Saccharomyces cerevisiae S288C: one gene and its partners. The gene in region 1 interacts genetically with each later gene. Each region holds a gene or a part of one and is shown in the gene's direction. Other genes may lie near its edges.

Region 1 (6,174 bases):
CTTCCATTAGGAACCATAGAAGCATGGCTGAAATGGCAATATACGGCTTCCCAATTTCAACTCTAAAGTAATGGCGGTCGAATTTAATCTATATTTTACAGTTTTATACGTACTTTAAAAGCAATCAGTAAACACCTCTGGTGCTATTCAAGGGTTTTTTGCCTTTATTTGTTACTGTCAATTGTCTGGCGCTGTGATAAAAAACAAGGCATAAAGCTCCCCCGTCATGAACATTAAGACTCGCTAGACGAGAGAGTGAAATATAATGCATTTCCTGATTTAAATGCGCTACAAACATGGTGTAAATCTGGCCCGGAGTGAGTGCTTGCCAATTTGGCTTCTAAGGGAGAAAGATCAAACCACTCCCAATTGCGTCATTTTGAAAGAGTGGCCACCTCGCGAGCGTCTGTCGAACTAACTGATGAATAAATATATAAGGAGAAAATCACTTCAACTTCGCTACAAGTAGTCACTATTTGTAGCAACTGTAAACGAACACATCAAAGAATAAGATTACATTCTATATCTAAGACTAAATTTTAAATGTCCGCTAAATCGTTTGAAGTCACAGATCCAGTCAATTCAAGTCTCAAAGGGTTTGCCCTTGCTAACCCCTCCATTACGCTGGTCCCTGAAGAAAAAATTCTCTTCAGAAAGACCGATTCCGACAAGATCGCATTAATTTCTGGTGGTGGTAGTGGACATGAACCTACACACGCCGGTTTCATTGGTAAGGGTATGTTGAGTGGCGCCGTGGTTGGCGAAATTTTTGCATCCCCTTCAACAAAACAGATTTTAAATGCAATCCGTTTAGTCAATGAAAATGCGTCTGGCGTTTTATTGATTGTGAAGAACTACACAGGTGATGTTTTGCATTTTGGTCTGTCCGCTGAGAGAGCAAGAGCCTTGGGTATTAACTGCCGCGTTGCTGTCATAGGTGATGATGTTGCAGTTGGCAGAGAAAAGGGTGGTATGGTTGGTAGAAGAGCATTGGCAGGTACCGTTTTGGTTCATAAGATTGTAGGTGCCTTCGCAGAAGAATATTCTAGTAAGTATGGCTTAGACGGTACAGCTAAAGTGGCTAAAATTATCAACGACAATTTGGTGACCATTGGATCTTCTTTAGACCATTGTAAAGTTCCTGGCAGGAAATTCGAAAGTGAATTAAACGAAAAACAAATGGAATTGGGTATGGGTATTCATAACGAACCTGGTGTGAAAGTTTTAGACCCTATTCCTTCTACCGAAGACTTGATCTCCAAGTATATGCTACCAAAACTATTGGATCCAAACGATAAGGATAGAGCTTTTGTAAAGTTTGATGAAGATGATGAAGTTGTCTTGTTAGTTAACAATCTCGGCGGTGTTTCTAATTTTGTTATTAGTTCTATCACTTCCAAAACTACGGATTTCTTAAAGGAAAATTACAACATAACCCCGGTTCAAACAATTGCTGGCACATTGATGACCTCCTTCAATGGTAATGGGTTCAGTATCACATTACTAAACGCCACTAAGGCTACAAAGGCTTTGCAATCTGATTTTGAGGAGATCAAATCAGTACTAGACTTGTTGAACGCATTTACGAACGCACCGGGCTGGCCAATTGCAGATTTTGAAAAGACTTCTGCCCCATCTGTTAACGATGACTTGTTACATAATGAAGTAACAGCAAAGGCCGTCGGTACCTATGACTTTGACAAGTTTGCTGAGTGGATGAAGAGTGGTGCTGAACAAGTTATCAAGAGCGAACCGCACATTACGGAACTAGACAATCAAGTTGGTGATGGTGATTGTGGTTACACTTTAGTGGCAGGAGTTAAAGGCATCACCGAAAACCTTGACAAGCTGTCGAAGGACTCATTATCTCAGGCGGTTGCCCAAATTTCAGATTTCATTGAAGGCTCAATGGGAGGTACTTCTGGTGGTTTATATTCTATTCTTTTGTCGGGTTTTTCACACGGATTAATTCAGGTTTGTAAATCAAAGGATGAACCCGTCACTAAGGAAATTGTGGCTAAGTCACTCGGAATTGCATTGGATACTTTATACAAATATACAAAGGCAAGGAAGGGATCATCCACCATGATTGATGCTTTAGAACCATTCGTTAAAGAATTTACTGCATCTAAGGATTTCAATAAGGCGGTAAAAGCTGCAGAGGAAGGTGCTAAATCCACTGCTACATTCGAGGCCAAATTTGGCAGAGCTTCGTATGTCGGCGATTCATCTCAAGTAGAAGATCCTGGTGCAGTAGGCCTATGTGAGTTTTTGAAGGGGGTTCAAAGCGCCTTGTAAGTACTTGGCTCACGAATACATATCAAGATACTTATGATATATATATATAGAAAAAGCTTACTTTTCTTGGAGTTATTGTTATTATCATCGCGAAGAACGATTGTATAACCCGGTTCAACGCGAAACGAATCGTTAAACTGGTGAAATGTTAACGCGAGTGTCAGAGATATACATAGTATGAGAGTAGCTAGATGTTGAATCGGTGGTAAGAACAAGAAGGAAATACCGTTAACAAGTGAAGGAACAATCTAGTATTGTTGAACAAGAATTATGAGTACCGACTTTGATAGAATTTACTTGAACCAATCTAAATTTAGCGGTAGATTCCGTATTGCTGATTCTGGGTTAGGGTGGAAAATTAGTACCAGTGGTGGCTCTGCAGCAAATCAGGCAAGAAAACCATTTTTATTACCAGCCACAGAATTATCTACCGTCCAATGGAGTAGGGGCTGCAGGGGTTACGACTTGAAGATAAATACCAAAAATCAAGGTGTTATCCAACTAGATGGATTTTCTCAGGATGACTATAACTTAATCAAGAATGATTTCCATCGCCGTTTTAATATTCAGGTAGAGCAAAGAGAACATTCCTTACGTGGTTGGAACTGGGGTAAGACAGACCTTGCCAGGAATGAAATGGTTTTTGCTTTAAATGGTAAACCAACTTTTGAAATTCCTTATGCTAGAATAAATAATACAAATTTGACCTCTAAAAATGAAGTAGGAATAGAATTTAATATTCAAGATGAAGAGTACCAACCAGCCGGTGACGAATTGGTAGAGATGAGGTTCTATATTCCTGGTGTTATTCAAACAAACGTCGATGAAAACATGACCAAAAAGGAAGAGTCAAGCAACGAGGTCGTACCAAAGAAAGAAGATGGTGCTGAAGGAGAAGATGTACAAATGGCAGTAGAGGAAAAGAGTATGGCAGAAGCATTCTATGAAGAACTAAAGGAAAAGGCAGACATCGGGGAAGTCGCTGGTGATGCAATAGTTTCCTTCCAAGACGTCTTTTTTACCACGCCAAGAGGTCGTTATGATATCGATATTTACAAGAACTCCATTAGACTCAGGGGTAAGACCTATGAATACAAATTGCAACATCGTCAAATACAAAGAATTGTTTCGTTACCAAAGGCAGATGATATCCATCACTTATTGGTTTTGGCAATTGAACCTCCTTTACGTCAAGGACAGACCACCTACCCCTTTCTTGTCTTACAATTTCAGAAAGATGAGGAAACAGAAGTGCAATTGAATCTAGAAGATGAAGATTATGAGGAAAATTATAAGGATAAATTGAAAAAACAATATGATGCTAAAACTCATATAGTTTTAAGTCATGTATTAAAAGGTCTGACTGACCGTAGAGTCATTGTTCCTGGAGAATATAAATCCAAATATGATCAGTGTGCAGTTTCATGTTCTTTCAAAGCAAACGAAGGTTATTTGTATCCATTAGATAACGCTTTCTTCTTTTTAACTAAGCCAACTTTGTACATACCATTCAGTGATGTTAGCATGGTAAACATTTCAAGAGCAGGACAAACTTCTACGTCATCGAGGACGTTTGATTTGGAAGTGGTACTGCGTTCAAATAGAGGTTCTACCACTTTTGCCAACATCAGTAAGGAAGAGCAGCAATTATTGGAACAATTCCTAAAGTCTAAAAACCTAAGGGTGAAGAATGAAGATAGAGAGGTACAAGAAAGGTTACAAACCGCTTTAGGTTCAGACAGTGACGAAGAGGATATTAATATGGGTTCCGCTGGTGAAGATGATGAATCAGTAGATGAGGATTTTCAGGTCAGCTCTGATAATGACGCAGACGAAGTTGCAGAAGAGTTTGATTCAGATGCGGCTTTAAGTGATGCTGAGGGGGGTAGCGACGAAGAAAGGCCTTCGAAGAAGCCTAAGGTAGAATAGTAATAATTTTAGACTGTATAAGTTAAATTTATTGATATTGTGTAAAAACTAACTAATATATTTTGCCAATTGATATTATCATGACATGGTGAGTGTAAGACACCACCTCTTAATTACTGGTGTTATTCTATACATTTATTTGAAATTGGTTTTGTTTTGCAAAATATTTATGTTTTGTTAATCTCCTCTACCCTTTCAATGCTTGAAAAATACTTTCAACTTTTCGATTGGGTGATGAAAAAAAGACAAATAGTGTAAAGGGTTCAAAAATAAATAACAAGCAAGAGAAAGGGACTTTGCTTTTCTCATTTAGTCACCAGTAAGTTATGTCATGGTGTAGAATAACGAATTACAGAAAACTAATATAACTGATGAAAGACCAGGGAGTAAAATGGCTTTGACTCAGTTTGAAAATGATTTGGAAATATTAAGAGATATGTACCCAGAACTGGAAATGAAATCGGTAAAAGTAGAGGAGGAAGGTGAATTCCCTCAAAGAATTAACGGAAAGTTACTGTTCAAGATATCACTATTGGCCGATGTAAATATTGAGTTCGGCGAGCAACATATGTTACTTTCAAACTTATCTAATGAATGCGTGGAGTTCACCATATATAGCTGTCATTATCCGGACATTCGACGGTGTGTTGTTATGGATATCAAATCCTTATGGATATCAACAGATGAAAAGAAGATGTTAATTGACAAAGCGCTGAGACTCGTTGAAGAAACTGTAGATATGAGTATTGAGTTCGCGGATTCGTTTACCTCCATCCTTATCCTCATCTTTGGGTTTCTTATAGATGATACAGCTATATTACTATTCCCTAATGGAATAAGAAAGTGCCTGACACAGGATCAGTATGACTTGTTTAAGCAGATAAGTGAGGAAGCCACCCTCCAAAAAGTGAGCAGATCTAACTACCATTGTTGTATTTGTATGGAAATGGAAAAGGGTGTTAGAATGATCAAATTGCCATGTGAAAATGCGAATGTAGAACACTATCTTTGCAGAGGATGCGCCAAATCTTATTTCACTGCAATGATTCAGGAAAACCGAATATCCAGTGTAAGATGTCCACAATGCGAATACAAAGAATTAAAACTAGAAGATTTCAAGAGCTATAAAAAAATGCTGAAGGCATTGTTTACACCTTTGATTCCAGTGTCCTTCTTAAAAGAGGTTATCGATACAGAGCTATGTGAAAGATACGAAAAAATGTTCTACAACCAGGCGGCTACAAGACTCTCAAAATATTGTCCGTATGCTTGTGTGACTTGTCGAAGATGTGATAGTTGGTGCACAAAAGAAGACCTCGATGATGCGATGATTCAGTGTCAAAAATGTCATTTTGTATTTTGCTTTGACTGCTTGCATGCCTGGCATGGTTACAACAATAAATGTGGCAAGAAAGTTTCGTTATCGACCGATATTATTGAGGAATATCTAGATGATACCGTTACTTCATATGAGAGAAAGCGGAAACTGGAGGCAAAATATGGGAGAAGAGTATTAGAACTTGAAGTCAATGATTACCTTGCTGAAAAAATGTTAGATTTAGCGATTAAAAAAGAGGGTTCGAATTTGCAGCGATGTCCAAAGTGTAAGGTAGTTGTAGAAAGAAGTGAAGGTTGCAATAAAATGAAATGCGAAGTATGCGGGACGCTGTTCTGTTTTATATGCGGAGTATTACTTTATCCTGAGGACCCTTATGAACATTTTAGAGAAGCATATTCAGGCTGTTATGGACGATTGTTTGAAGGTATGCCTGGCACAGAAACTTGAGTGCGATCGCTCTGCCTTCAGTCTCACACTTTTTCTTATAATCTATTGTCATGAAATTTATACAGATGAAAATGAAACGTTATCTTGGGTATACTGCATTCTCTTTTCTTTTACATATCTACCTATCTAAAATACCCTTAGTTTTATCATCTGGCTGATAA
Region 2 (5,726 bases), on another chromosome or scaffold:
TGCGGAACTTTTCTCGGAAAAAATCAGTTAGAAAAGATCGTACATAGGGCCCTTTTTTGACAGTAAGATTAAAGAGCAAAACGGGACATTATAGATATGCCACCATCAAATACGTGAATTTTCCAAGCCTCATAAACTAATAGCCAACTTGCAACTCTTATAATGCAAAACTTTCTCCGTGAAAGTGTAAACCACCATCTGTCGCCCATCTTTTGGTGCTTTCAATTAAGCCTCTAGGGCCTGCAGCGAGAACCCATACTTGTGACAAATATTCAGCATGGTCTCTGCCTTGATTCGCCCACCTGCAACATTGAATAGAATCCGTCTCTGCATCACATTCGGTTTGCAGACACCATTCATAATCCTTATCTCCAAGTGTAGGCCTGCCAAAGAACACTTTAACACCTGCGGGAATTCTGATCTTTTTAGGCGCCGCCTCTAAACAAGGATCTTGGGCAGGTGGCTCAATGATCTTTGGTTGTCTGAAAACGCTCGATCCGTTAAACGAAGAATGTGTAGTTAGAGTTCCTTGTGCAGTATTTTTCCTTGATTTGGATCTGCTAAAAGCATATGTAAAATCTATCTCGTCATCAGCATTGATGTCAGGTATATCACTTGTTTTTGGTGGGTGATGGTTTCTCAAGGTAGATTTCTTACTTAGAAGGGCTGTGTTCTCATTGGGCTCCGTAGGTTGGGGATTTCCATCTGATAACATGGAATTATCTCCCAGTTCTGAAACTCGGCCGCTCGAAGAAATACTCCTGACTTCATCATTAATATCAGCAGCGCAGTCATGATAGTCAATATAATCAATTTCTATGTCCTGTTCGTTGCCTTCGGTGCCACTAATATATATCTCCATACCTTCAAAATTGTTTTTGAAGTGGTTCAATACTTCCAGATCCTTATAATCTCTAGAAACCCAAAGGAGCCTAACGTTTACACCGTTGAAGTTTAGAATACGAAGTAGTGGTAAGCCAAAGGAAATTCCTGAACCTCCAACACACATAAACACTCTTTGCGCTTTAATTAGAAAATTTAAAGGCGAATTTATTAGTGCAGAAGAATTGTTTCGAAATGGATTCTTGGAAGATTTCGTGGTAATATTAAAAGGAACAGTAGGTTTAGAAATGAAACTCAACTCAGGTTCAAAAGCCCCTGTAATGTAATACTTTTCATTTGTACGCAATGGAAAATGCCCGTTTCTAATAATTAACCTGACCAAATTATCACTTGGAATACTAGCAATAGTAAAAGGATGTTGGAAGGGTATCAAATGGGAGAAAAACCTCCTTAAAAAATTTCTATGGTAAATGTTGATCCTTAGATGCCCTCCTGGTAGGATGGGCTTTTTGGGTAAATCGGTTAATGGGAACTCCAAAAGAGACAATGATGAAGAAATGGGTACTATCGTAACTCTCGTAACATTGGTGATATGGAGCCTATAGACGATTTGTCCCGTTAATATGAGCACATTTAAAGTGGTATAATATGAAATTCCTGGGCGAGCGTGATAATGTAGAAACACCAAAATAAGCCATGTGCTTACATAGTGAACATAGTAAAAAACTCTGTAGCTCCATCGTCTGGCATATCTCACAGAGGTGATGGCAATCAGTAGGAAAAGGCCGAGGGCAATAACCCCATAAATGTTGGGTAGTTTTCTCATTTTCACGTATAACGTATCATTAATGTACATGTAATAGAGATAGAACCACGTGTGTAGAATAGATTCAAGCACAACAATTCTGGAAATCCATTTGTGGAGAGGTAACAATGCTAAGTATAACGTGTGAGGTAACGGTGATGGCCTCAACGTTAGAAATAGTAAAGGTGGCATCAAAGCAACGGAAATTCTCCCCATTCGCTTAGTAATTTCTAACAGATCTCCGTTAGCGCCTTGTATAACAAAAAACGAGGTGAAAACAAAGCATATTAAACATAGTTGTAGTGACTGTTTGTGATACATATGTGTTTTGTGAACCCATGATCTTCTGTTGAAAACATGATGCTTTAAATGGTGACATATTTTGAAGAATTTGTCAGTTAGCAACAAATAATTCATTAAGGGTATAATAACACATATTATAATGAAAGAAATTAAAAGACATATCTGAGAATATTTGCGGACTCTTAAAGTTCTAAAATGCTTGTCCACGTCGACATCAAAACTGGGAAGATGTTCCTTGAACCAGCTAACGATGGACTTTAAATTCATGCTGAAAATAACAATAAATAAAATACAGTAAACTTTTTTAGCGGAACTTCTATTGTAATTTAACGATTTAATCTGAAGAGATGTAGATGTAATAAAACTGTTAAAGTGGCAACGTGATAATTAAAAGCTTGGCAAAAATAAGAGATCAACACTAGCTTTTTCTTTTTCCACCTAAATTTGAAGGGAAATAAAAAAGAAATTGAGGCTGTACAGAGTGTTAATCTTCCATAACGGATACCACCAAACGTTTTTACCCTAAACTTAAATTTTATTACTTATTTTACATGCATAATGGCTGCCATGCGTAGTTCATACATGTTATTTGCACCCTTTTTCTTTTTCAATAACAAAAAAGAGCTTGGGCATTACGTTTTCAACACTTTTAATATTTCCCTTTTTACATCCGTACATATAAAATGTAAACCCATGCATTCATGACAATTTTACCTATTTCTTAAAGGCCTTTGTCACTTCTTTATGGGAATGGCGCTACTTTAATTTTCCGCCTACTTTGAAAAATTTACCAAGGCGAAATTGAGTGCGCTAGGCGGAAGTTCCAGGGCACGGTCACCGAACCTTTGTGCTGTTTCGAACGAGGGTCCCGCTGGAGGTTGACGGACGCGGGAGGAGCTGGAAAGATGGAATGGAAGGACTGCAACACTCAGTAAGAAGGTTCGTGGTAGGGAACATCACCTTCTCTAGTTCCTGTAAAAATAATATGATCAAGTTTGAATCCTCGTATTGAAAAATCGCGAGTTATTAAGTGTGTAATTTAGAATACCGAAATAGCACAAGAAGAGATAAGATAAGATACTGATAGGATAATGTCTTTACCAGCTACTTTTGATTTGACTCCAGAGGATGCCCAACTTTTGTTGGCCGCTAACACCCATTTAGGTGCTAGAAACGTTCAAGTATGTACACATATCCCATACGATTATGTTCTATAGATGATAATAGGTCTCGAAAAGAATATGTCCCCGATTTAATCATATTTGGAGGTCAGAGGACCAAAGGTAATTTCAGAGGAATTTTGAACACGCCGGGTTTAGAAGAGTTAGAATTTCACTTCTTAGTGAGGGTAAGGAGAAGAAACTCAATAAGAATATACATCCTCGACTGTGTCAAAGATTATGAACTCCGATGAAACAGTAAAACGTCAAAAAATTCCACGGGATATAATTCGGTACTTTATTGGATATGGAAGAAAACATTATATATGCACAAATGAACGCTCTTACTAACATAATTTATCTTTCCTCTCTTTTTTTAGGTCCACCAAGAACCATACGTTTTCAATGCTAGACCAGATGGTGTTCACGTTATCAATGTTGGTAAGACCTGGGAAAAGTTGGTTTTGGCTGCTAGAATTATTGCTGCCATTCCAAACCCAGAAGATGTTGTTGCCATCTCTTCCAGAACCTACGGTCAAAGAGCTGTCTTGAAATTTGCTGCTCACACTGGTGCTACTCCAATCGCCGGTAGATTCACTCCAGGTTCTTTCACTAATTACATCACCCGTTCTTTCAAGGAACCAAGATTGGTTATTGTTACCGACCCAAGATTAGACGCTCAGGCCATTAAGGAAGCTTCTTACGTTAACATTCCAGTCATTGCTTTGACTGATTTGGACTCCCCATCTGAATTTGTTGATGTCGCCATCCCATGTAACAACAGAGGTAAGCACTCCATCGGTTTAATCTGGTACTTGTTGGCTAGAGAAGTTTTGAGACTAAGAGGTGCTTTGGTCGACAGAACTCAACCATGGTCCATCATGCCAGATTTGTACTTCTACAGAAACCCAGAAGAAGTTGAGCAAGTTGCTGAAGAAGCTGCTGCCGCTGAAGAAGGTGAAGAAGAAGAAGTTAAGGAAGAAGTCACTGAAGGTCAAGCTGAAGCTACTGAATGGGCTGAAGAAAATGCAGACAACGTTGAATGGTAATCATTTGAAAACCTTGCAATGTGTGTGAATATTGTAAGGAATTGAGAAAGAGAGATAAAAAAAGAGACAGAAGTATCACTTCCTTTTCTAATTTTTCTTTTTCATTTTTTTTTTAAATTCATCTATCGTTTATCTTTATCTCATATATATTTGCTTCTCTCTGAAGCGTCATCATCTATCTGTATTTTTAATGCAATCATAGTATAAAAATTTTTAACCAAATTCAAAAATTATAATATTTTAAAAGTTTATGCTTTTGTCCTTTTATATTCAAGTCATTTGGCCATTATTACGCTTTTTTTTTTATTAGGTAAGTGGTTTCAATAATTAAATTCTTTAGCGGGAAGGCTGACTATCTATAGTATTGAAGATAAGTTAAATTAATGTTTAGTTCTGATATTTCATTTTTATTATTAATTAAATTTGCACTATTCGCCATGACGGGTTCACCCGAGTATTTATTTTGCTTTCGTTATACATATATATATATATATATTCTTCCAGGAGAAATACCTGCCTTCTCTCTTACCCCTTGCTCAATCTAAATCAATCCGTGACCTTAAATCTTCTAGCAGAATGACTAAGTCACAATCGATTTTAGAAATTTGAATAACCAGCTCAGAGATATTACTGACAAAAAACTTGTAATGGCACTGTTTTAGCAAGTTTAAGATAAATGTATCCATTAAGAAAGCATTGATTTTATTCGGACCATAATAGGTAGTCACTATTAGAATATCTAAAAGTTCTAGACCAATACCATCTAATTTGTGCTTATTCAATGCGTTGGTCATAAAATTTCTTATTACAGGCTTGATGAAATCCATTATCACATTTAATTTCAACTTGTCCTTTAAATGGTAGTATAAGTTAGGAAAGTCCTGATAGAACTTCCCCTCAGTAACCGTGTAAGAATTCTTGTTGTCCTTATTGTCATCGAAACGACTATTCAACCAGGTAACGTTTTTCGTCAAATTGATGAAAATAGACCGGGATAGAGTTTCCTGCTCTTCGTTGTTACAACATTTCCTTATTGCTAGATACAATGAGTTGTTCGCATACTGACTGAAAAATCCGGCTTCGTCTAGTTCGCTATAGTGATATAAACATCTCTTGTATATTGGAAGACGAAAATCGTTCGGTATCCCAAACCAATATAAGTTATGCTTACTTATCACCAACAGCAGGTCCGTCTCATCGCCAGATGTATGACAACTTCTCAAATTGCTCCAAAACTTTTCCAATTTTAGTTCTCTTCGAAATAAGTTTCTATTTTGAAACTTTAAATTTAAGATGTTCCTCTTTGTTTCCGATTTAATGAGGTTTTGTATGGATGGATCAGTATGAGTGCACAAGGTTTCATCGTTATTATTGGCAATTAATGATAACGATTCTTTTTCACTATTGATTTTCCTTTTATTTTCCTGAATCAAAGAATCTACACTCAAATTTTTTTGTGGTCTAATGACTAATGAAGATGATCCTGATGAGTTCCTGTTGTTGTTTGGAGTAAACAAACCATCAGAAAACACAGAAGACGCAGAAGAAGATGAAGAAGAGTACATC
Region 3 (6,937 bases), on another chromosome or scaffold:
AAAGATAACATTTTCAAGATGAGCCCTTTGAATCAGCTGCAAAGCCAATAAAGGGGTTGGTCCTACTAATATTTTCTCCATCTCCACACCAACTCGCTCTCTAGAAATTTTTGAATTGAATGCAACATTAATCTGAGGATCGCCCATTTCAGCCATCACTTCCGGATCTATGGTAAAGTTGAATCTAGAAGCAAAACGGATCAACCTCAAAACCCTCAAGGGATCATCCAAAAATGTTTGTTTTGCAGGAAGCGGAGTACGGAGAACGCCATCTTTTAGATCTTGCAGACCTCTCTTGGTGAAATCTTCCACTTCACCTTTATGAATGTTATAGAAAAGAGCGTTCAATGTAGCATCCCTTCTTAAAGCGTCTTCCTCGGGTGTGCCAAAGCACACTTTAGGTATCCTGGAAAGTTCAGTATACTTTTCAGATCTTAAATTGACAAAATCCACTTCAACGCCAAAGAGCTTAGTAGTGGCAGTTTCCAGATGCTTGGATTTCTCGGGATTCTTGTCAATCTTGTGGATATTATGAGGCTTGGCTCCATATTTGGCGTAATGTTGTTGCAAATACTCGTTCAAACCAGTAGCAAATTGCTCACCTGACATCACATTGATGGCAATATCCAAGTCGTGAGAACCTTGTCCCAGAAGCTTGTCACGCACCCATCCGCCCGTGATCCGAAGAGTCAATGGCTCAGGCTTATTGTGGTACTTTTGATTGTACAAGTCTGTATAATCGTTCAGCAAGTTACAGATGTTCTGTTCCACTTTGGTTAAGGTGATTTTGGGTGCATTTAGAACAAAATTAGAATTCGTCATCGTTTTCTGAGCAGCACTATTCATCAGTAGAGATATAGTAGACCGTAGCATACACAAAAAAAGCCCTTATAACCCACGGATACGAATTAATCTCGAGGGAAGCGTTGCGATGTATTATGTAGTTTCCTTTAGTACATTGTTAATATGGTAGATTTTTGCGATTCATTTTTCAACTTTTCAACCCTAACGAATGTTTTTTAGGGCTGAGTAACGACAAGAACACAACCCTAAAAATCAGATGACCTAAGGGTTTGGTGAATCGAGAAAGTATGCCCTATTTCCCCCGCCCATACACCCCATAAGCCTTAACCGCAGCCCTCCTCTCCCCTAAACGTTTCTTTTTCTTTTTCCATTTTTTTTTTTTTTTTAGTTTTACTTTCTTTTTATTCGGAAAAATCTTTTCTATATTTTTCAAGGGTAACCTCATCGCCATGCAATTAATCACATAGACTCCTTAAGTAACAATGGCAAGGCGATAATTTTAAGAGAATTGCAGACGCTGTACATAGATCGTTATCAGCAAAACATATATTCGCATCGAAGGCGTTGCTTGTCCCTGAAGTAGCTACTTGCGGTTTTCATCAAGCGGCCAATTTAATCATTCTATCAGCATTATTTTAAAATAGGGGGACTTAACCTTTCTATTAGTACCACTTATTTTATAGATCTGCTGGAGAAAAATAAACAGATAAAAAAAAGGGAAAAAAAGAATAAGACTGTCTTGGTGAGGATATTCAGTTGCGTGAAATCATGACGAAACTAATCGCTCCTTCAGAAATCGTGGGCGGAGTGCCCGTCTTCAAACCCACATACGAGCAATTCGAAGATTTCTATGCATACTGCAAGGCCATAAACAAATATGGCATGAAAAGTGGTGTTGTGAAAGTAATCCCACCTAAAGAATGGAAAGACAAATTAGATCTGCCTTATTCTGCGGAAACGCTCCAAAAGATCAAGATTAAATCACCTATTCAGCAGCATATTTCTGGTAATAAAGGTCTTTTTATGGTGCAGAACGTGGAGAAAAACAAGACCTATAACATTATACAGTGGAAAGATCTTTCTAAGGACTATGTGCCTCCGGAGGATCCTAAAGCAAGACGTAATTCTAGGAAAGGCTCCGTTTCCAAATCCACGAAGTTGAAACTGAAAAATTTTGAATCGTCTTTTAATATTGATGATTTTGAACAGTTCAGGACGGAGTATACAATAGATTTATCTGACTTCCAAAATACGGAGAGATTAAAGTTCTTGGAAGAGTATTATTGGAAAACGCTAAATTTTACTACGCCTATGTACGGCGCAGATACACCAGGATCAATCTTTCCTGAAGGGCTGAACGTTTGGAATGTTGCCAAACTACCGAACATCTTGGACCATATGGAAACAAAGGTTCCTGGGGTGAATGACTCCTATCTATACGCTGGTCTATGGAAGGCTTCTTTTTCTTGGCACTTGGAAGATCAGGACCTGTATTCCATAAATTATATTCATTTCGGTGCCCCAAAACAGTGGTATTCGATACCGCAAGAGGATAGGTTCAAATTCTACAAATTCATGCAGGAGCAATTTCCCGAAGAAGCCAAAAATTGTCCTGAATTTTTAAGACATAAAATGTTTTTGGCTTCGCCCAAACTGCTGCAGGAAAATGGCATACGATGCAATGAAATTGTCCACCATGAAGGCGAATTCATGATCACTTATCCCTATGGTTACCATGCAGGGTTCAATTATGGATATAACTTGGCAGAATCCGTCAACTTTGCTTTGGAGGAGTGGCTACCGATTGGGAAGAAAGCTGGAAAATGCCACTGCATTTCAGACTCAGTGGAAATAGATGTTAAGAAACTCGCTAAATCTTGGAGGGACAATAATAAAGAGTCGAAAGGAACGCCACCCCTCAATCAATTACCCAATCCTGCCATGCCCTTACTTCACAGGCCAACTTTAAAAGAAATGGAAAGCAGCTCGCTTAGATCTACAAGCCCAGATGTGGGTCATTTTTCAAACTTTAAATCCAAGAGCTCTGGTGTTTCTTCTCCCTTATTATCACGTATGAAAGATTATTCCAACATTGTCGAGCCCACACTAGAAGATCCAACTTTGAAATTAAAAAGAATCTCTTCTTTTCAAGAACAGCCCTTAAACAAACTTTTGAAAAGAGAAACTTCGCAAACGGCGATGCTCACAGATCACGAAGACAACATAGTGGCCATGAGCCTTACTTCAATGGCAAACAGTGCGGCGTCTTCTCCGAGGTTGCCACTGTCAAGATTGAATTCATCTAATGAACTCTCAAATGCCCAACCATTGCTTGACATGACAAACAATACTCTTGCCTTCCCGCGACCTAATGGACCATCTGGATTGAACCCTTTATTATATATCTCTAACAAGAATATTAGCGGGATATCTCACTCGGCTCCACATTCTCCAGTGAATCCAAATATATCGCTGATAAAACGAGTTAAGTCTCCCAACATTGTAACATTAAATATATCCAGGGAATCGTCAAGAAGCCCTATAGCTCTGAATTACGAGGCAAGACAACAACATTCGCAACAACATTCATTCTCCACACCATCAACCGTGTCAAATCTCTCTACTTCTGTGCTCGGGCCACTGAGTGACACAAACGACATAAAAACACCGCACCCTGAAAGACCAAATCACAAGACAGCAAATAGAATACTCAAAAAGGAATCTCCTGTCGAGACATCAAAATCAAATCTTATACTTTCAAAGGTTGCATCCACTCGCCAAGAGGATTCTTTTACAAGCCGAAATGACGATCTGGACAAAGAACAAGGCTCTTCTCCATTAAACTCTAAGTTTGCGCCCGAAGAAATCGTGTTATCAGGTAAGAACAAGATTTATATTTGTAAGGAATGCCAAAGAAAGTTCTCTTCTGGTCACCATCTTACAAGACACAAAAAATCCGTCCACTCTGGTGAGAAACCTCATTCTTGTCCCAAATGTGGCAAAAGATTTAAAAGGAGAGATCACGTTCTGCAGCACTTGAATAAGAAAATACCGTGTATTTCAAACGAAACAACAGTAGATGCTCCAATAATGAACCCTACAGTGCAACCGCAGGACGGGAAAGCGGCCATTAATCAACAGAGTACACCTTTAAACTGACTCACGATTGCCAGTTGTTTACCGAGATCTCTCATTTTGAAGGCTCTTAAAATGTGCTCGGTCGGCCGGGAATTCGCGAAAACCCACATTCACTAATAAATACCATTACAATAACCATCATTATATAGATACACATGTGTAGAAAAGGATAATATACGTATATATATTTGTTTGTAAATCTTTAAATTTTCAGGAACAGGGTTAGCAAGCATCAATGAAAGCAGACGCGAAACAAATAACACATCTACTCAAACCTCTTCGACTTTTATTATTGGGGGCTCCAGGGTCAGGTAAAGGGACACAGACTTCGAGATTACTAAAGCAAATTCCACAATTATCTTCAATTTCGTCAGGCGACATTTTACGTCAGGAAATAAAATCTGAATCTACCCTAGGCCGAGAGGCTACTACCTACATTGCTCAAGGCAAGTTATTACCGGATGATCTCATAACGCGTCTGATAACTTTTCGTCTTTCGGCATTGGGTTGGTTAAAACCATCTGCCATGTGGTTGCTCGATGGATTTCCTCGAACTACTGCGCAAGCTTCTGCCTTAGACGAGCTGCTGAAACAGCATGACGCCAGCTTGAATCTAGTGGTAGAGCTAGATGTACCCGAATCCACCATATTAGAAAGGATCGAGAACAGATATGTTCACGTTCCTAGTGGGAGAGTGTATAACTTACAATATAATCCTCCCAAAGTGCCAGGATTAGACGATATCACCGGAGAACCATTGACCAAGAGGCTTGATGACACAGCGGAAGTGTTTAAAAAAAGGCTAGAAGAGTACAAGAAAACAAATGAGCCTTTAAAAGATTATTACAAAAAAAGTGGGATTTTTGGTACCGTCTCTGGGGAAACATCAGATATTATCTTCCGAAATTATTGAACCTTATAACCAGCAAATTCGGCTAATAGGGTGATTTAACGCTACACTAACTGCAAGTATATGTTAACCTTCCCCGAGACTTTGAAAAACCGTGACTCTAGTTGGAAGTCAGCATCTCGTCAACCAAATGATTACAGTTCACTTTGAATATTCTGAATAGCCTTTATGATATGAGTTAATCCTATATTAATCATGGCCGACGGCATTTAAGCGATGTATATGAAATTTATGAAAAATTAAAGTAGCGTACTTTATGCTACATAGCTTTTGAAAAGAAATCTCTGGTCTGTAAATAATAAATAAATATATATATATGTATATCTTAAAGTTGACAAAGTACTGTTAGCCATTCATAGAAATACTATATTTCATCTTGGGTTGAAGGTGATAATCGGCCCGATTTGACTACACTTTAAGAAGATTGGAAACAATGAAGTTTTATATAGATGATTTACCAGTGCTTTTTCCATACCCCAAGATATATCCAGAGCAGTATAATTATATGTGCGATATTAAAAAGACTCTGGATGTAGGTGGAAATAGTATCTTGGAGATGCCTTCAGGAACAGGTAAAACGGTCTCATTACTATCCCTCACAATTGCCTACCAGATGCACTACCCAGAACATAGAAAGATCATATATTGTTCTCGTACTATGTCTGAAATTGAAAAAGCTTTAGTAGAGTTAGAGAACCTTATGGATTACAGAACTAAAGAACTAGGCTATCAAGAGGATTTTCGAGGTCTTGGCTTGACATCAAGAAAAAATTTGTGTTTGCATCCCGAAGTGAGTAAGGAACGAAAAGGTACAGTAGTCGATGAAAAGTGCCGTAGAATGACAAATGGGCAGGCGAAGAGAAAATTAGAAGAGGATCCAGAGGCAAATGTAGAATTGTGTGAATACCATGAGAATTTGTACAATATTGAAGTAGAGGATTATCTTCCAAAAGGCGTATTTTCTTTTGAAAAACTTTTGAAATACTGCGAAGAAAAAACACTTTGTCCATATTTTATTGTTCGTCGTATGATTTCTCTTTGTAACATTATTATTTATTCTTACCATTATCTATTAGATCCTAAAATTGCTGAAAGAGTTTCCAACGAGGTTTCTAAAGATAGCATTGTCATTTTTGATGAAGCGCACAATATTGATAATGTGTGTATCGAATCGCTGTCATTAGACTTGACAACGGATGCATTGAGAAGAGCCACACGAGGTGCTAATGCGTTAGATGAACGTATTTCTGAGGTCAGAAAGGTTGACTCACAGAAATTACAGGATGAATACGAAAAACTAGTTCAAGGTCTCCATTCTGCAGATATTCTTACCGACCAGGAAGAGCCATTTGTGGAAACACCTGTATTGCCCCAAGATCTTCTAACAGAAGCAATCCCGGGAAATATACGAAGAGCCGAGCATTTTGTTTCATTTTTGAAAAGATTGATAGAATATCTGAAGACCAGAATGAAAGTTCTTCACGTTATTTCAGAAACGCCAAAATCATTTCTACAGCATTTAAAACAGTTAACTTTCATAGAAAGGAAACCTCTTCGGTTTTGCTCAGAAAGGCTATCATTACTTGTAAGAACTTTAGAAGTTACAGAGGTAGAAGATTTTACTGCATTGAAAGACATAGCAACTTTTGCTACTCTTATATCAACATATGAGGAAGGGTTTTTACTAATTATTGAACCGTATGAAATCGAAAATGCTGCAGTTCCGAATCCGATTATGAGATTTACTTGCTTAGATGCATCGATTGCCATCAAACCAGTCTTTGAGAGATTTTCTTCCGTTATTATCACTTCAGGGACCATATCACCATTAGACATGTATCCAAGAATGTTAAACTTTAAAACTGTTTTACAAAAATCATATGCCATGACCTTAGCCAAAAAATCATTTCTACCAATGATTATTACCAAGGGTTCTGATCAAGTTGCAATTTCTTCAAGATTTGAAATCAGAAACGATCCTAGTATTGTTCGTAATTACGGTTCTATGCTAGTAGAGTTTGCCAAGATCACACCTGATGGAATGGTTGTTTTTTTCCCCTCATATCTATATATGGAAAGTATTGT
Region 4 (5,933 bases), on another chromosome or scaffold:
TCCCACACTTCACCAAATGAGTGTACAATGGTTTGAACTTTTACGCAATGTAGAGTAGAAGTATTCATTTTGAAAATTTGTATACAGGAGGAGTGCTTCTCCTTGTCAAACATTTCTAAATGCTCGTTCAAAGGCTCATCCATGTACTGTGATACCGCGACGGCTAAATATTGTATATCCTTGCCTATATCAGTATTTTCCTCTATATTAAGCCATGCAATATCTGTTACCAATCCTCCTACGTTGTAAATAAAGCCGCGCCTTTTGCCGTTAGCAAGCACCGGAAACTCTATTTTATCGCCAGTGGATACCTCTGCATCAACTTCCCCGATAAGTAACTTCAATCTCTTCGTTCTCAATTTGATCATATTCTCAAATTCAGTCTTATTAATTTCATGATATACGGTTCTGTTTTTATCCCCTATGACTTTATTATATGCACTTTCCTTTTTACACGGTGGATCTAAGCATACAAAATATGGAGAATCAGGCTGAATATTCTTGAATGGGAAATCGAAAACGCTAGTTTCAAAGCCTTCCTTAACTTTTGCTAGCAACAATAACTTTTCCTTATTCAGTCCATAAATTCTTTCAATCTTGTCTCTTGCACTCGAAAGATCTTTTAGGAGCCTGATGGGACGGCCCTTCTGTCCTAGACTTGACCCTGGGGAGCTGCTCTTCATATTTTTAGTCGAATTCTTCTTCAAACGAAGTTTCTGTACAGTATTTCTTCTTCCACTGGGTCTAACAGAAGCTCCACTTCCACTACTGTTTAAATCCGCCACCTCATTTTTAGTAGACTCTAACTCATTCTCAAATTCTATCTCAACATTGTCACTTTCCTCACCATCACCTTCATCATTCAATACAAAATCATCATCGTCGGTGTCATCAACATTATTGACTTGTGTAGTATTTATCACATCATCGCGACCAGCATGCACTAATTGTGCGAAATTTGCAACTGCTTTCTTAGATGCGTTTCTCCTCGGCCTTTTACTGCCTGAGTTTTCAGATACTGGGCTTGCCAAGCTATCATAGGGAACTTCTGCTACCACAGATTTTCTAGGTCTTCCTCTTTTCTTTGCCGGTATTACTGCCATCGCCACAACTTAATATATTATTACACGTATCGCAATGGAGCAAGTTAGAGAAATTTCGCTAATGGATCAAAGAGTACTAGCTTTAGTTTTTAGGACATGAAACTGCTCTTACTGAGTAGAAATCAAAGCTTTAACAACTCATCCAGGCTTTCTCGAACAAAAAATGGAATGTTGTTTATCTTCTTTTGCAACGTAGGGTTTTCGAACCGCAGCTTTCCGGGTGATACTGAATCCCTTCTATTTCCTTACAGAAGACAGCAAATTTTATTGTAGCATATAAGAAAAGAAATGACAGGCAGAGGAGGGACCAGCATGCCTATGAATTCCCAATACCATATATCACTTTGACAGCGTATATCGCAATTGAAATAGAACAACTTTTCATTATTACTTCAGAATTCATTTTAAAGTGATTGCGAACACGGATTATAGCCCTGAACAATAAAAGGCAAGAGAAAAAATCATTTGTTTTAGGCTGTTAACAGATGACCGGTGATTCCAGAAGCATCAGCGAACCCTCAATTAATCTAGATCCAGATAATACAAGTTTTTCTGATGAAAACAGCGATGACTTCTTTATGGACAATTCCTATGATATAGATGAAATCGATCATAGCGATGAAAGTAATAGGCAAAGTGTCATAGTTGACTCTAAAGTCACGGTACCGCCATCAAAGCATTCAACTCTAACATTATCTGATAGTGAAGATAGCGACGCAAAGGAACAACATCAGTCCCTGAGCAGATCATCTAGTAAAAATGTAAATATAGAAGATATTACGGAGCCCAAGCCAGACAAACCATCGGGTCGAACTAGAGGAAGATCTGTGATGAAAGAGTCTGTAGTTGAAATAAACTCATCTGAATCTGACTTAGACGAAGACAAAAATTTTCCCAGATCTAGGTCAAGGTCCAGGTCAAGCATAAGATCAATATCTCCAGCGGGAAAATACAAGCGACAGAAAAGTTCATTACTGTATACCTATGATGAAAACGATGACTTTTTCAAGGAACTTGCTAAAGAAGCCAAAAAAAGCACCACTATTTCTAAAGAATCGACACCCGACCAGCGGAAGCGAGTTTATAACATCAAATTTCTCTCTAAGCTAGAAGGAACTATAAATAAAGCGGTCCAAGTGAAGGTCCTCGGAAAATACGAATTTTCAAAAATACTTCCTGCTGCTTTGGACGGATTGATGAAGTCCTATAAAATTCCGAAGGTAATGAAAGATATATACAAGGTAGAGAATGTTACTCTTTATTGGAACAATGCAAAATTACTCACTTTTATGACTTGTAATTCGCTACATATCCCACAGGATTTTGAAAATGAAGTCTCTGATATCGATGTTACTATCGTATCCAAAGAATACGAAAAGAACTTTGAAGCGACACTGGAATCAAAGTTAAAGGAAGAAGAAGCTGCTTTACTCATAAAAGAACGTCAGGAGATGGAAAGGAAGTTAGAGAAAAAGAGAAATGAACAAGAAGAGTCCGAATATCGCGAGTTTGAATCCGAATTAAAAAACGTAGAAGAAACACAAGAAATAAAAGAAAATGATACAGTTATGAATACAAAACTTCTGCAAGAGGGTGGCTCTTTGTCAGGAAATAGTAGTAGCATGGAAGAAGTTATGAGAATCGCTCTCATGGGTCAAGATAACAAAAAAATCTATGTCCATGTTAGGCGTTCAACACCATTTTCTAAAATTGCCGAATATTACAGAATCCAGAAACAGTTACCACAAAAGACGAGGGTTAAATTACTTTTTGATCATGATGAATTGGACATGAATGAGTGTATAGCCGATCAGGATATGGAAGATGAAGACATGGTTGATGTCATTATTGATTGAGCGCAATTTGCTAAAAAAGGCCGAACTCCGGCTCTTTACGTGCCACAATTATTATTTACTATGGGCGGCGGGTGTGTTGGTGGTGCTTGCGGTACTTGTAAAATATTTTCTGAATATAATTGAATAAGACCTTTTGTGTTTAAATCATACTCGGGTAATTCTCTGTTCAAAAAGTAGGTGCTGACCCTCTTCTACCTTCCGTGAAATATTATAAAGGAATTTTTCCATCTCTAACTCAACATGTTAACGCTTTTCTATAAAAATTTGATCGCCTAATGAATACAAAAATCTCTTCAGCTTTTTCGTGCTAGGTTTGAATAGTACATCTAACGTAGAACAACTATCAAAACAATTTGATATTTCCTCGGCTATAGTTTTCTTGGAACAAGAGGTAAACTACTTCTCTATTGTTGCTACAGCAGTCAATTAAAATAATTCGTTTCATCATAATATTATGATATCAACGCTAAAAGGTTGTATAAATTACGAGATCAGCAGAAAATAAAATTCAAGCCATCATCCTTTAAGGTGATTTGAAGGGCAAGAATTGGTAGTGTAACTGCATCAATGAGTGATTAGGTGAAAACGAAGAAAAATAATAAATATGGTACTGTGCAGAATTGTTGATTTTCTTTTTTGAACTCTAAACCATCAAGAATGGCTTTCACCCACTATTGTTACACATAGTACTATTACTTACACCAAGATGGGATCCGACAAATATCTCAACACTATATTGGTCTACATGCTTTATCGATTGCTCCTTATTTACGTATTTCTATAAATAGGGCGTACTTTACCAACAGTGATCATGGATGCAAAAAATGTGAATACATTTATATGGAAAAAAGGTTTATATCAATATATTTTAAAGTGATTGAAAATTACTGATGTGTTTGATATTGTTGGAATAAGAATCAACCATCATATACCCGACTAACGTTCATATTATTAGTAAACTATCATATACAACCTAAGAAGTTGACATAAAGATTGACAAGCAGTTACCATTTTTAGTAGAAGTTGAAAAGCAAGAATTGATAACCAAATATTGTTTTCCAACAATGCAATCCCAACCCTATCTCAATATTCATAGAATTCACTTATTTCTCAGTTTAATACATGATGATGCATCTTGATATTGAGAAATTATATGTATTATCCCTTTTTAACCTTTAAAAGGTCACAAATAAATAGCCTTGTTGGCGCAATCGGTAGCGCGTATGACTCTTAATCATAAGGTTAGGGGTTCGAGCCCCCTACAGGGCTAATAACACATTCAAAATGTTATAAATTTTTTTTCGGGTTTGTGTTTAAAACTAACCTTCTAAAGAAAACAATAAAAATTATATCAACATTTCCTCATGTCTTTGTAACCTACTAGTAGGGATTTTGAAGGGCTGAAAGCTTCTTAGTTCTGTCGGATCCATTATATTATCATTATTTACGAAACTAGTGCTATGGGTGGCGAACGTGGTGGGCGTTACCTTTTAAAGTCCTAATGGAAACCTACCTATGCATAAAGTGAATAGAGTGGCAATAAAAGTCGAATAATAGTACAAATACGCAAAAATATGAGTACGGACGTTGCTGCTGCACAAGCCCAAAGTAAAATAGATTTAACAAAAAAAAAAAATGAGGAAATAAATAAGAAGTCTCTAGAGGAAGACGATGAATTTGAAGATTTCCCCATTGACACATGGGCCAATGGTGAAACAATAAAAAGCAATGCTGTAACGCAAACAAACATATGGGAAGAAAACTGGGATGATGTTGAAGTTGACGACGATTTCACCAATGAATTGAAGGCCGAATTGGATAGATACAAACGGGAAAATCAGTGAGGGGCTACATAACATTATTTCTAAATAACGCAAAAGGAAATTATACGTCTAATGTTACTTTAGTACATTGTTGTCATACTAGTATATTTTGCTTAGATGATAAAATAAATAATAAAAAGAGATACGAAAGGCTATGCGGTAGTCGATTATATGGCCTTGTAGTATAATAATGATGCACGCAAAGTATTAAATAACTCAGCTGAGATTTCTCATTTCTTTAAATGCAGTCTCAGTTTAAAAAATTAACTATATTAAGATCCGCTCTTTCTACCATATGATGCAAATGTGTCCTCGAACTAGTACTTGCAATTTCAGGTAACCCCAATCGTTTCTTTATTATTGTCATTTTTACTATCATAATAATATCATCCGTAATAACAATTAAGTAACAAATCACATCCATGTAACCATTTAATTTGTTTCAAGTAACATTCCGAGTGAATAGCTAGTCACATACATATATCTTACCTGCCGCTCCGCTGCAAATGACTTTACTTGTTTCTTGAGGATGCCAGTCCACTTGAGTTATAGGCTTGTTGCCTGGAATCTTGATGTTATTTAATAAGCGCGACGTATTCCAATCCCAAGTAAATAGTCTGCTTTTTGAATCGCCTGAACATATGTAACGACCATCACCAGAAAAAGCCAAGCTTATCCCATAACCAGCAGATGAATGCCCTTTAAATATCTTTTTTGGATGCCTCTTATATTTGGGTTTCAAACTGAAAGAATATATTCTATTATCCATGCTTTGTGCACAGAAATAGTTCTGAGACGGATGTACATTTAAAAATGGCATAGAATGTTGAGCCGTGTCACTTATTTGTTTTATTGGTACATTGATCTGATTTTCCCAAATTCTTACCGTCTTATCCTCTGAAGAAGAAATAAACTTCGAACCATCGGGAAAATACTTGAGAGCCAGAATGCTACTTAGGTGATGATCATATGTCTGCACAAGACCTTGATTTTCTGAAACACGATCATCATAATGTAATATTTTCGAATTCGATAAACCTACAATGAACTCATGTGGGTTAGTGGGCCGAGATTCAACATCTGCAGGCGTTGAATTAAGGTGCAACCTGGTTTTCACTTTACCAGTTTCAGTATCCCAAATTTTAACGCTT

What was found.
Region 2: mutations in POB3 (region 1) and RPS0B together harm fitness more than expected from each alone (negative genetic interaction), as found in Saccharomyces cerevisiae (2 studies listed by BioGRID).
Region 3: mutations in POB3 (region 1) and RPH1 together harm fitness more than expected from each alone (negative genetic interaction), as found in Saccharomyces cerevisiae (one large-scale study listed by BioGRID).
Region 4: mutations in POB3 (region 1) and ESC2 together harm fitness more than expected from each alone (negative genetic interaction), as found in Saccharomyces cerevisiae (3 studies listed by BioGRID).

Annotation. Positions count from the first base shown.
Region 1 is NC_001145.3:132,932-139,105, forward strand, and holds POB3 (FACT complex subunit POB3), read left to right. Parts: upstream 1-2,568; coding exon 2,569-4,227; downstream 4,228-6,174. Other genes in the region: DAK1 (dihydroxyacetone kinase), read left to right, coding at 544-2,298; ITT1 (RBR-type E3 ubiquitin transferase), read left to right, coding at 4,619-6,013; ERV41 (Erv41p), read right to left, coding at 6,132-6,174. UniProt on the Saccharomyces cerevisiae protein: Component of the FACT complex, a general chromatin factor that acts to reorganize nucleosomes. The FACT complex is involved in multiple processes that require DNA as a template such as mRNA elongation, DNA replication and DNA repair.
Region 2 is NC_001144.5:239,190-244,915, forward strand, and holds RPS0B (40S ribosomal protein uS2 RPS0B), read left to right. Parts: upstream 1-3,042; coding exon 3,043-3,132; intron 3,133-3,491; coding exon 3,492-4,160; downstream 4,161-5,726. Other genes in the region: FRE8 (putative ferric-chelate reductase), read right to left, coding at 158-2,218; MLO50 (Mlo50p), read right to left, coding at 4,697-5,726.
Region 3 is NC_001137.3:521,797-528,733, forward strand, and holds RPH1 (Rph1p), read left to right. Parts: upstream 1-1,572; coding exon 1,573-3,963; downstream 3,964-6,937. Other genes in the region: CCA1 (tRNA adenylyltransferase), read right to left, coding at 1-873; adenylate kinase ADK2, read left to right, coding at 4,178-4,855; TFIIH/NER complex ATP-dependent 5'-3' DNA helicase subunit RAD3, read left to right, coding at 5,286-6,937. UniProt on the Saccharomyces cerevisiae protein: Transcriptional repressor of photolyase PHR1. Recognizes and binds the sequence AG(4) in the upstream repressing sequence of PHR1. Derepresses PHR1 transcription when phosphorylated.
Region 4 is NC_001136.10:1,197,595-1,203,527, forward strand, and holds ESC2 (Esc2p), read left to right. Parts: upstream 1-1,588; coding exon 1,589-2,959; downstream 2,960-5,933. Other genes in the region: transcription factor TFIIIC subunit TFC6, read right to left, coding at 1-1,103; proteasome regulatory particle lid subunit SEM1, read left to right, coding at 4,534-4,803; CDC40 (Cdc40p), read right to left, coding at 5,249-5,933. UniProt on the Saccharomyces cerevisiae protein: May be a substrate targeting component of a cullin-RING-based E3 ubiquitin-protein ligase complex RTT101(MMS1-ESC2). Involved in HMR and telomere silencing via the recruitment or stabilizing of the SIR (silent information regulators) complex.